Linked DNA regions of Nothobranchius furzeri. The protein of the gene in region 1 purifies or fractionates together with the protein of each later gene. This does not show direct contact. Links are inferred from orthologs where the notes say so. Each region holds a gene or a part of one and is shown in the gene's direction. Other genes may lie near its edges. The genes, in order: ciao2a, ireb2 and narfl.

Evidence for each region.
Region 2: the proteins of ciao2a (region 1) and ireb2 purify together in Homo sapiens (affinity purification with mass spectrometry; 3 studies listed by BioGRID and IntAct, with this or other methods). This does not show direct contact. The link is inferred for Nothobranchius furzeri from reciprocal best matches to the Homo sapiens genes CIAO2A and IREB2.
Region 3: the proteins of ciao2a (region 1) and narfl purify together in Homo sapiens (affinity purification with mass spectrometry; 4 studies listed by BioGRID and IntAct, with this or other methods). This does not show direct contact. The link is inferred for Nothobranchius furzeri from reciprocal best matches to the Homo sapiens genes CIAO2A and CIAO3.

What each region holds. Positions count from the first base shown.
Region 1 is NC_091744.1:55,351,649-55,355,301, forward strand, and holds the end of ciao2a (cytosolic iron-sulfur assembly component 2A), read left to right. Parts: intron 1-2,673; coding exon 2,674-2,774; 3' UTR 2,775-3,187; downstream 3,188-3,653. UniProt on the Homo sapiens protein: Component of the cytosolic iron-sulfur protein assembly (CIA) complex, a multiprotein complex that mediates the incorporation of iron-sulfur cluster into extramitochondrial Fe/S proteins.
Region 2 is NC_091754.1:45,150,558-45,154,210, forward strand, and holds part of ireb2 (iron-responsive element-binding protein 2), read left to right. Parts: intron 1-2,586; coding exon 2,587-2,673; intron 2,674-2,846; coding exon 2,847-3,012; intron 3,013-3,147; coding exon 3,148-3,285; intron 3,286-3,370; coding exon 3,371-3,613; intron 3,614-3,653. UniProt on the Homo sapiens protein: RNA-binding protein that binds to iron-responsive elements (IRES), which are stem-loop structures found in the 5'-UTR of ferritin, and delta aminolevulinic acid synthase mRNAs, and in the 3'-UTR of transferrin receptor mRNA.
Region 3 is NC_091752.1:55,723,493-55,727,931, reverse strand, and holds the start of narfl (cytosolic Fe-S cluster assembly factor narfl), read left to right. Parts: upstream 1-1,564; 5' UTR 1,565-1,612; coding exon 1,613-1,678; intron 1,679-3,656; coding exon 3,657-3,752; intron 3,753-3,830; coding exon 3,831-3,974; intron 3,975-4,064; coding exon 4,065-4,194; intron 4,195-4,274; coding exon 4,275-4,409; intron 4,410-4,439. Other genes in the region: transcription factor E4F1, read right to left, coding at 1-157, 317-392, 478-605, 854-1,037.

The sequences.
Region 1 (3,653 bases):
CCAATAAAGGCCTGGAGCTTGATGAGCTTGAGTCAAATACAGGCCCGGGCCTGTATTAGAGGATTTACGGTATATGTATATACATATACGGTATGCTTGAGTCAAATACAGGCCCGGGCCTGTATTAGAGGATTTACGGTATATGTATATACATATACGGTGAATATGTGTATATATATATGTATATGTATGTATATATGTATATATGTATATACATATATATACACATATTCATATATATATATATATATATATATATATATACATATATATATATATATATATATATATATATATATATATACATATATATATATATCACGATAAGAGTCGTCTCAAGGCACTTCACATAATAAGCATTCCAATTCAGGTCAGTTCTTTAAGCCTATGAGAAATAATGTTTCGTATATAAGGAACCCAGCAAATTGCATCAAGTCACTGACTAGTGTCAGTGACTATACAGCAATCCTCATACTAAGCAAACATAAAGCGACAGTGGAGAGGAAAACTATATATATACATGTATATATATATATATATATATATATATATATATATATATATATATATATATATATATATATATATATATATATATATATACAGTTGTGGTCAGAAGTTTACATACACTTGTAAAAAATATAATATAATGGCTCTACTGAGTGTCCCGTTATTTCTAAAACTGATTTTTCTCTGATGGAGTGATTGGAACAGATACTTCTTTGTCACAAAAAACATTCATGATGTTTGGTTCTTTAATGTCTTTATTATGGGTTAACAGAGAAAAGTGATCACATTTGCTGGGTCACAAATATACATACAGCAACATGAACTAGCAATTTTGGTGACAGAAACGTGTCAGTGAACTGAGCTTCATAGCATGGCCTCTTAACTTCTTGTGAGTGATTATGAGTGACTACAGCTGGTGACTTCTCTTAGGCCAGGTAAATAGGGCTCATTGGATACAAACGCCCACAAACGCTACAATGGGAAATTCAAAGGAGCTCAGCATGGATCTGAAAAAGCGAATTATTGACTTGAACAAGTCAGGAAAGTCACTTGGGGCCATTTCAAAGCAGCTGCAGGTCCCAAGAGCAACAGTGCAAACAATTGTTTGTAAGTATAAGGTGCATGGCACTGTTTCATCACTGCCAAGATCAGGAAGAAAACGCAAGCTATCACCTGCTGCTGAGAGAAAATTGGTCAGGAGGGTAAAGAGTGAACCAAGAATCACCAAAAAGCAGATCTGCCAAGAATTAGAAGCTGCTGGAACACAGGTGTCATTGTCCACAGTCAAACGTGTTTTGCATCTCCATGGACTGAGAGGCTGCCGTGCAAGAAGGAAGCCCTTGCTCCAAAAGCGGCACCTTAAGGCTCGACTGAAGTTTGCTGCTGATCACATGGACAAAGGTAAGACCTTCTGGAGGAAAGTTCTGTGGTCAGACGAAACAAAAATCGAGCTTTTTGGCCACAATGCCCAGCAATATGTTTGGAGGAGAAAAGGTGAGGCCTTTAACCCCAAGAACACAATGCCTACAGTCAAGCATGGTGGTGGGAATATTATGCTGTGGGGCTGTTTTGCTGCCAATGGAACTGGTGCTTTACAGAGAGTAAATGGGATAATGAAGAAGGAGGATTACCATCACATTCTTCAACATAACCTAAAATCATCAGCACGAAGGTTGGGTCTTGGGCGCAGTTGGGTGTTCCAACAGGACAATGACCCCAAACACACATCAAAAGTGGTAAAGGAATGGCTAAATCAGGCTAGAATAAGGGTTTTAGAATGGCCTTCCCAAAGTCCTGACTTAAACCCCATTGAAAACATGTGGACAGTGCTGAAGAAACAAGTCCATGTCAGAAAGCCATCAAATTTAACTGAACTTCACCAATTCTGTCAAGAGGAGTGGTCAAAGATTCAACCAGAAGCTTGCCAGAAGCTTGTGGATGGCTACCAAAAGCGCCTAATTGAAGTGAAAATGGCTAAGAGACATGTAACCAAATATTAGCACTGCTGTATGTATATTTGTGACCCAGCAAATGTGATCACTTTTCTCTGTTAACCCATAATAAAGACATTAAAGAACCAAACTTCATGAATGTTTTTTGTGACAAAGAAGTATCTGTTCCAATCACTCTATCAGAGAAAAATCAGAGTTTTAGAAATAACGGGACACTCAGTAGAGCCATTATATTATATTTTTTACAAGTGTATGTAAACTTCTGACCACAACTGTATGTATATGTGTATATATATATGTATATACATATACATACATATTTATATATGTAGATATGTATATATATATATACATATATATAAATGTATATACATATACACACATATATATATAAATGTACATATAAATGTACATATATATGTAGATATGTATATATATATATATATTATATGTTATATATAAAACAAAACAATAAATTCATGACTCCGCATTGGTTTCAAACACATGTATTAGAGTTTTGCTGCTACCACCACTTCCCCTCTCAGGCTGCCCCACAGCCACGCCCCCTCCCGCCTTGCTGGCTCCTTGAAAACAACTTTGTTTTTTAACTCTGCTAGCCCAGCTGATTCAGCAGTTTGTTTGTGTTACTGATTTTTTGGTGCTTTTTCACTAGTCTCATGTTCTGAGTGGTGAAAATGATTAATTTCTCCAGTTAATAAACAGATCAACGATAAGGAGCGGGTGGCAGCCGCCATGGAAAACCCCAACCTGAGAGAGATTGTGGAGCAGTGTGTCACTGAACCTGATGACTGAAGGGCCCAATGCTACATCAATAACTTTTTTAAGTGCGTGTGCATGAGTGAACACATGGAGGAGGTTGGATGCTGGAATCAAGTCCAGCCTTTAAAGACAGCAGCACCAGTTGTTGCTGGTGAACAGCCTGGTGTTCCAGAAGAAGGTGAATAAAGGAAGAAGAGAACACACCTCCTGCTCTACTTTTATCTCTCAACTTTCTCTCCATCATTCCTGCTGTTCACCATTCATGTTTAATCAGAACAGAATAAAAATGGCTGTTTTTCATTGCATTGACTCCTATTAGATCTTTTGTAATTCCTCAGGTGATTACCTCTAATTTGATTTCAGAGTCTGGATGTTTAGGATGGGGTTTTATAAACAGAAATGAAATGCAAATAAACTCAGAATAAAATAATCAGGTTTGAATATAATCCTGTCTCCTGTGTATTTGAATCAGAGTAAGTGTTTCAGCAGTGCTTCCTACAGATAAAACGTTATTTTGCACACATCTTAGGTTTATTTATTAAGCACTTTTAAGTGCTTCTCAGACAAGAACAATAAAACTGATACAATGATCTTAGAAATAACTATCTCACACACACCCATTAACATCACTCTTAACCATATAAAACAATATAACATTAATGTCAACATATATTTTCTCTGAGTGCACACACAAACACTGATTATACCTCCACAGTAATATTTCATACAGGTCACACGAGCTGTAATGAGCTTTTAACTATCAAGTACAAAATGATACCAGCCAGGTTTTAGTTTGTGTACCACTCTTCAAAAAGCTGATTTGGATTGGCTGCATGTGTCACTGTAGCATCACTTGATCTCTACATTTATGGGATGCAGTGTGTTGATGGATAAAATAATGGGCAGATGAGA
Region 2 (3,653 bases), on another chromosome or scaffold:
ACACTGCAGGCCGTGGTTCTCTCTTAGCTTGCTGGAATTCGCCCTGCTCGGTGAGGATGCTTTCGCCCAGAAACCATGGCCCAGGCTCCTTCTTTACGCATCCTCCCGGTTCTGCTGATTCAACGCCTCCTGGTACGAGTCAGGCAGGAACAACTATTGTTTATTCTGGTGGCTCCTCACTGCAGCTGCTGGTGAAAGCACGCCTGTGGTGCCTGCGTTGGAGGTAGGATGCACTCCTGCAGGCAGGTGGAACCATCAGACACCCACCGATCTTGGATCAGCATTTGTGGGTCTGACCACCGAACGGCCACGTTTAGTGTGTCTCAGTCTGTCACTCGATGTGGTCCAGAGCAGGCGTTCCGCACATGTGGCTGTTTCCTCCTGTCATCAGGGATATGGGGATAGATCTGTCTGTAGCCATCCCCTCACCAAACACTTCTTAAAGGGCGTTCAAAGGCTCAGACCTGCTCCTGCATCTCTGACTCCACAATGGGTTTTGGCTGTGGTTCTGCTTGGGTATTCTCAGGCTCCCTTTCAGCCTTTGGGCCAAGTTCCACAGAATTTTTTTGTCCCTTAAGGTTGCAATTTTGCTGGCTCTGATGTCATTCAAGAGAGTGAGTGACCTGACTGCTCTTTCTGTCTCGCCCTCTTGCCTCAGGATCAGGGATGATGAGGGTTCAGCTGTTCTGTGCCCCAACCTTGCGTTCATCCCCAATAGCATCATCAGCTCTTTCAGGTCCAGACCCATTTCTCTGGCGGGGTTTTTTTCCTCCTCCTCATGAGTCAGAGAAAGATGCTGCGTCACACCTGCTGCATTTGCTCACACAGATAGATTGTTTCTCTGTGGCAGCCTCTGTCATCTCAGCGTCTTACATAATGACAGTGTGACATCATCACGATCGCCTATGCGTCCTCTGGTCTGGATGCTTCCGACAGTTTAAAGGCACATTCCACATGGGCGATTTCTTCTTCTGTAGCAAGGTTTTGCTACAAGCATCTTGCTTACTTTCCACCACATTCATCATCTGTCATCCTGTACAACCATCATCTCATTCATACTTTGTCTTGTCTACCCCTCCCCCACTCTACTTCCCACTCTGTGTTCACTTCCCTCTAGGATTGGTTATGCTGCCTCACTGCTACCTAGGATTGACTGAATAGTGTTGTTGTTGTTAGCCTCAGGTGATAATGAAGCTGCTGCTTCATTATCACCTGTAAGTCGCTTTGGCCAAAACCGTCTGCTACATACACAAACATGTCTATAGCAGACATATGCATGGCTTGCTTTATGGTCATCACCATCTTCCTTTGTGAGGTTTTACCTCAGAGGTGTGTCCACCAGCCTAGCTGCTAATGTGGTGCTGGCTCACAGTTCTGCCTGTTCACAACTGTTGCTGAGGTTTGGATACAGAAACTGCCATTTCGTTTCTTACCCTTATGTTCATATGCACCCGCACTTCCATGTTCTGACCATGTTTCACATGGTGTTGTTCTTGATGATGACAACCTCCACATTCCTGCCTGTTGCTAGGCAACCTTTAGGGTTGATTCTCATCAGCTGTATGCTACATCATCGTGTTCTCCAGCTGCTCGCACATATTTGCGCCTGCTGGCAGCTGTGGAGACTTGTTTGGGCAGAAGCCTCAGAGTCCGCTCAGGTTTGGTTCTTAACCAGTGTGGCGTTGACTACATCGGGCTCCGCCTTTAATCGAATAAGTGATGGCTTAAAGGGCGGAGCTATACTCATAGAATCTGGGGTTACAATACATAACCCACTTTCTTCGACGGAGAAATGGTCTCTTTATTTTATTATTCTTTTTCTGTATACACTAATGTGGGAGGGGCTTAGGCTCCCCCCCCCCCCCCCCCCCCCGACTCGACTCTGGATGAGCATCTGAAAACGGATGGATGGATGATTATTATTATTATTATTATCAGCGAATATCATTTAAGCATCCAACCAATTTAGGATTCTTTATGGTTTCAGTGTTTTCAGCAGCAGAGCCTGCTTCGTGCTTTGTCACGTTTCTGAAATGAGACAAACTAGGCTAATTATGTTATTTATTTATCTTTCATCAATGATTTATTTAGTTTTTAATGCTCAAGTTTACTTTTAAATATAATTAAATAACATTTTAAAAAGCAATGGTGTGTGAAATGACATCTGCTCACTAAAACCCTAACCCTAACCAACAACCCATCACCTGATGTCCTCTCTATGTCCCCGCCCTCACAGCTGAGGACCAGGCTAAACACCTTTTACCCCCTTCACCTGTTTTCATGTCTGTGAGCTACGCTGAAACAAGTCTGTTTGAACTTCGACAGTTCTTCTAGGTGAATAAATGCTGGTATCTGATTGGTGTGATCTCAGGGGCAGGGGGCGAGAGGCGGGCTTTAGAGACGAGCAGCGCTATAGAGAGTAGGTGTGGCCTTCTGTCTGTTTTTGTTTACTAATCTGGCTTAAAGACATAAGAAGGGAGGTGGCATCCTTCTTTGGTTTCATAAAATGAAGCTGGAAGTCCTCTAGCAGCCGCACCGAGGACTTGAAGGGTTCTGGCTCTAGAACTGTTTATATCTTCTCTGCAGAGCACCCATTCCACCATCTAATCGACACCCTTAAAGATGGCAGGATCAAGTTCTTCAATCCACAAAAATTAAACGATCCAAGATATGGTGAGTTTTGGCCCTCCCACTGGAGATGTGCCTGTTTGATGAGGAGTCAGCGTTGTTGTATGTTTATGAATGATGCAACTTGCACTGATTTCATGTGAAAACATGCAGATGTGAGCAGGGTGGTGACATGGACAGTGAGCAGCTCAACACATACCTTTGATCTTGTCCCTTAGACAAACTTCCTTTTTCTATCCGCGTCCTACTGGAGGCAGCCATTCGTAACTGTGATGGTTTTTACACAAAAATGGAAGATGTGCAGAAGATCCTTGCCTGGCAGGAGCAACAGGATAAAGCTGAGGTGCCATTCTCACCTGCACGAGTCATTCTGCAGGATTTCACGTGAGTTTGTTTGATTTTAGGTCAAAACCTTAAATTAAAGAATTATGAAGCTCATAACCAAGTGAGTGGGTTTCCCTGGTTTACCTAACTCCATGAAGAAGGCTGATTTTCTGTTTTGATGTTTTCTTCTGACAGAGGGATTCCTGCTATGGTGGACCTGGCCGCCATGAGGGACGCTGTAGCCAAACACGGTGTGGACCCCGCTCTAATCAACCCTAAGTGTCCCACGGACCTGATAGTAGACCACTCTTTCCAGATTGATTTTAGTAAATGGTCTGTGTCTTAGATGGTCGGTTTCAAGAACTTTGAGTAAATGGGGTAATAGAAGTTTATTCTTTAATGTAAGTTTTATCTCCAGTGCCATACAGAACACTCCCAATCCTGGCGGAGGGGACGGTCCCACCCAGAACCAGGCCTCCTCTCGCTCCACTGCCTCCAGGCCTTTCATCAGAGGGGACTTCCAGTGTGGAGACCGGAGAGGCTCTTGTAGTAAAGCTGCCTGCAGTGACTCGCCCACATCTTTGGGTCCATCTCCAGCCTCTGTCCAGCAGATAGAAAATACTCCTCTCCTCTGTCCTTTCCACCTCCAACCCATCTCTGAGTGAGTGATGGTGATGATGATGATAATGATGGTGGTGGTG
Region 3 (4,439 bases), on another chromosome or scaffold:
CAAATGGGACAAATATAACGTCCTTCCTGATTGACACTGTGGGACAGAGTGTCACTGTCAGCATTGCGAGATGCTAATTTTACACTTGGATCAGACTGCACTTTCAGTGAGGCCACTTTCTTCCTGTGGCCTCGACCCAACTGGCCACTGATTTCATCTGGATCAAAAGAGACAAAACATCAGTCCAGCAACACATCAAGTACACACCTACAATTAAATCTGCAGACTAAAAACACGACTAGAAATAAATGACCAACCGATAAACTCTGCAATCATTCATTTAAAGGTGCAATAAGGGATGATAAAACTGACCCACCATCAGAGATCACTACTGGTTTATCTGCTTCTGCCCTTTTCACCTCTGAGGAAGAACTTCCATTTTCAGCAGTGACCTGCATATATGAGGACACCAATGCTACTTCTCTTGATGCCGTTTAGACTGATTTATCCACACAGCCCCACCCAGATAGCTCCTACCTTTTGGCCGCCATCCTGACTAGCATTCTGAGCCTCCACACGTTTGCAGCCGTGCTGCAGTTTGTGCTGGATGAAAGCCTCAAGGGTGGAGAACTCGGACTGGCAGCGACCACATTTGTGCACATCATCTAGTAGCACAGAAACGGACCCAACCAGCATGAACCAATATCATAATTAGTGCCACAAACTGATTACTGTTTAATGTATTCGTGTCTGATTCACCCCAAACAGTGTGTACTTCCACCTAAAAATACGAAACTATGCTGCTCGTGTCAGTTAGCTGTTAGCTAGACATCACCTCGGTGAAAGTTAGCGTAGCCCAAACGCGTTAAATGATAAACAAATTCGGCTTGTTTGATACAGCCAGGTGACAAACCTTCATCTCCTAGTGTGGTCTGAATAGTAATGGTCTCGTTGCCGTTCTTCTCTGTTTCTGCCGTATGATTATTTTCCACATTCATGTCGTTTGAATTCTCCGTCTCTGTCGCAACGCTGCAGCGGGGAGGGAAAACATGGCGGATTACGACCCCGTAGTCATAACAACAAAAGGGCGCGTGCATGATTCTCTCACAGCTAATAAAGTGAAATTAAACATTTCTGATTTCGTTTTAGTCACCTTAATTTTTTCTTCAGTAAAATAGACAGGATTCACTCTGCTGCGTTGCTTTCATAGGCTATGATTTTGGCCAAATGTTTCTCTACAAATAAATTATTGTTTTTCATTCAGCTACAGGCACTTTTTATATTTAGAATGAGCAACAGAGAAAAGTAATGCTATTTGTTGTAGGAATAAAATGAAATATTACTTATGGACGTCTTCATGTCCAGTCCTACAACTAACAAGTGTTATTTGGGCAAATGTTAAAAACAAACAAACAAACAAAAAATAAACATTTTTACATCTCTGATATTTACATTTAATTTGTTCCATTGTTACAGAGAAAGTTAAATATACATTTTTTTGGTACTTATTATTAAAAATTTGATAGTTTGTCATTTGACCAAAATGAATGATAATTTAACATATGATAAGAGGTATTTAGTTTGATCACGCCTGTCTTGTAACCATAGACTGTACAGCTTGTAACCCAGTATTCACGACACAAGAGTAAACAACAACTTTACGGTAGTAAACATGGCTTCCCACTTCAGCGGAGTCTTGCAGCTAACAGATCTCGATGATTTTATCACTCCTTCTCAGGTCGGTCACTGAAATAATGTGAAATTAAGTCGTGTATTGGATTAATTACAAGTGGGTGAAACAGTAATTATGAACAATTCACCGGTCGTGACATTTAGGGAACAATTGACGGATTAATTATGGCGATGTAGCAGCTAGCACACGATTAGGCTTTTCGTAGAGAGAAACTTCTCATAAAATATAGGAACATTGAGTATTGGCTGAAGCTCATCACGAGTCGATGATTACTTTTTGATTTGTAACAAGTTGTAAAGTTTTACTTTTTTAAAACTATGGCGTAATTACGTCACTAGTCCATGCCGTAACCTGTGTAAAGACAAATTAAATCACTGAAATAAAACACTTTCAAAGACTAAATTAAATCAATCGTATTGGCTGACATATTCAGACATTTTTAAACACACTAAATGTCAGTTATAGGCAAATAAAGACAAACTATATTTTAGCTAGTTCTTTAGAAGAAGAAGAAAATATTTCTATAGTGCCTCTCAAGATAAAAATCAGGAGGCGCTTCACAAAAACAAAACATGTAAAAATATAAAAACGAATTTAGAAAATGGTTAAAAATATATTTAAAATGTGCAAGAAATAGACACTAGTGATTAAAAAACAAAATGTTAAGAAAGAGAGAGAGAGAGTGAGTAGGAAAGAGGGAAATCAGTGGATCCTGAGGAAGGTGGAATAGGTGGGGAGAGCAGAATAAAGAGAGAGTGGTGAAGAAGGTCATACCAAAGCCAGCTTGAACAAGTGTGTTTTCAGCTGCTTTTTAAATGAGACCACTGAGTCCACTGATCTCAGACTCAGGGGGAGAGAGTTCCAGAGTCTGGGGGCCACAGGATGTGCTGAAGAGGGAGCAGATAGAGGAGGAAGAGCAGAGGCCCCAGCACAGAACCTTGTGGGACACCATGGGTAAGAGAGGTGGTGGAGGACCTAAACTTGGAGACGGCCACAGAAAAGGAGCGCTCAGAAAGATAAGAGGAGAACCACTCCAGAGCAGATCCTGATAGGCCGACCCAGTCTCTCAGCCTCTCCAGTAGCAGGTGATGGTCAACAGTGTCAAAGGCTGCAGTCAGGTCCAGCAGGACCAGGACAGAACAGTCCCCTGCATCACTGTGAGTCAGAAGGTCATTAGAGACCCTAAGAAGAGCTGTTTCAGTAGAATGAGCTCTACGAAAACCTGACTGAAAGCTATCATAGATGTTATGTTCATCAAGAGCAGCTGTGAATTGTTTAGCCACAACCTTTTCCAAGATCTTGGAGATGAACGGAAGTTTAGAGATGGGTCTGAAGCTGCTATGGAGAGAGGGGTCAAGACTCGGTTTTTTAAGAAGCGGATGGATTACAGCATTCTTAAAGTAAGCAGGGACCTGACCAGAAACCAGAGAAGCATTATTTATAGAGCGCACGCTGGGACCGATGGACTGAAAAGCAATTTTAAACAAAGATGAGGGTAAGATGACGAGGGGGCATGCAGAGGTCTTCATAGAGTTAACTAGTTTGGTTAACTCAGGCAAAGAAACAGGAGCAAAGCTATCTAGGATGATGGGCCTGGTTGGAGTCGGGAGAGGCAGCGGTAAGGCTGAAGGAGAGATGCTAGATCTAACCTTATTGACTTTGTCCACAAAGAAAGACAGAAAGTTCTCACAGTCTGCAACAGAGTGGATGGAGGCTGTAGGAGAGGCAGGAGAGACAATGCTGCTGATGGTGTTAAACAGCACCTTGGGGTTCCCTTTGTTTTTATTAAACAATTGAAAAATTGAGGACACTCTCAGTATGAAGTAATGAAATTTTTCTTAGACCCAAATGAATCAGTAATGTTTTGTTTTTTCTTATGAAAACAGATAATTTTGTGTAAATTTTACAGTTTTTCAGATTATTCTCCCCATGCAATAGTGCTTAGTCATATTTCTCAGATGCTTTTGGATGTGATGATTGATCTCATTTACAATAGCGGTTTACACATTGGTGTGTTTTCCAGGAATGTGTTAAACCAGTCAAAGTAGAGAAGAAACAGGGTAAATCTGTGGCCAAAATCCAAATAGAAGATGACGGCAGCTATGTGCAGGTCAACCAGGTGGGTATCCTTGCTCAGTCTTTAATCAGTTTGAGAATTATTAAACCAAGTTTGAATGAACACACCCTGTGTTTACAGGATGGTGGGAAGCAGAAGCTGGAGAAGGCCAAGATCACACTGAACGACTGTCTGGCCTGCAGTGGCTGTATCACCTCGGCTGAGAGTGTCCTCATCACTCAGCAGAGCCACGAGGAGCTTTTAAAAGTGCTGCGCAACAACAAGGTAGACGTGTGTCTCTGAGCTTGTTCATTTTTGTTTTGCAAGTTTTGCATTCCGTCTAACCTTAATACAATAAGTGTTGTGATTATTTAGATTAACGAAGCAGAAAAGAAGATTGTAGTTGTGTCGGTGTCGCCTCAGTCCAGAGCCTCCCTGGCAGCTCACTACAACCTCAGCAGCAGTGAGGCAGGCAGGAGGCTCACAGCTTACCTCAAAAACCTGGGTGTGGACCTTTTCTGTTTTTATATCATGCAACACCTAAGCAGATAATCTGAAGATTATTCCTGGGGGTGCTTTTGGCAGGGGTTCATTGCGTGTTTGACACCAGCTTCAGTCGGACCTTCAGTCTGTTGGAGAGTCAGAGGGAGTTTGTGGAGCGTTTCCATCGGAAGGAGCAGGACAGCAAGGCCGTTCCCATGCTGACGTCTGCATGTCCAGGTGTACAGCAAAAACATAGCCTCATGAACA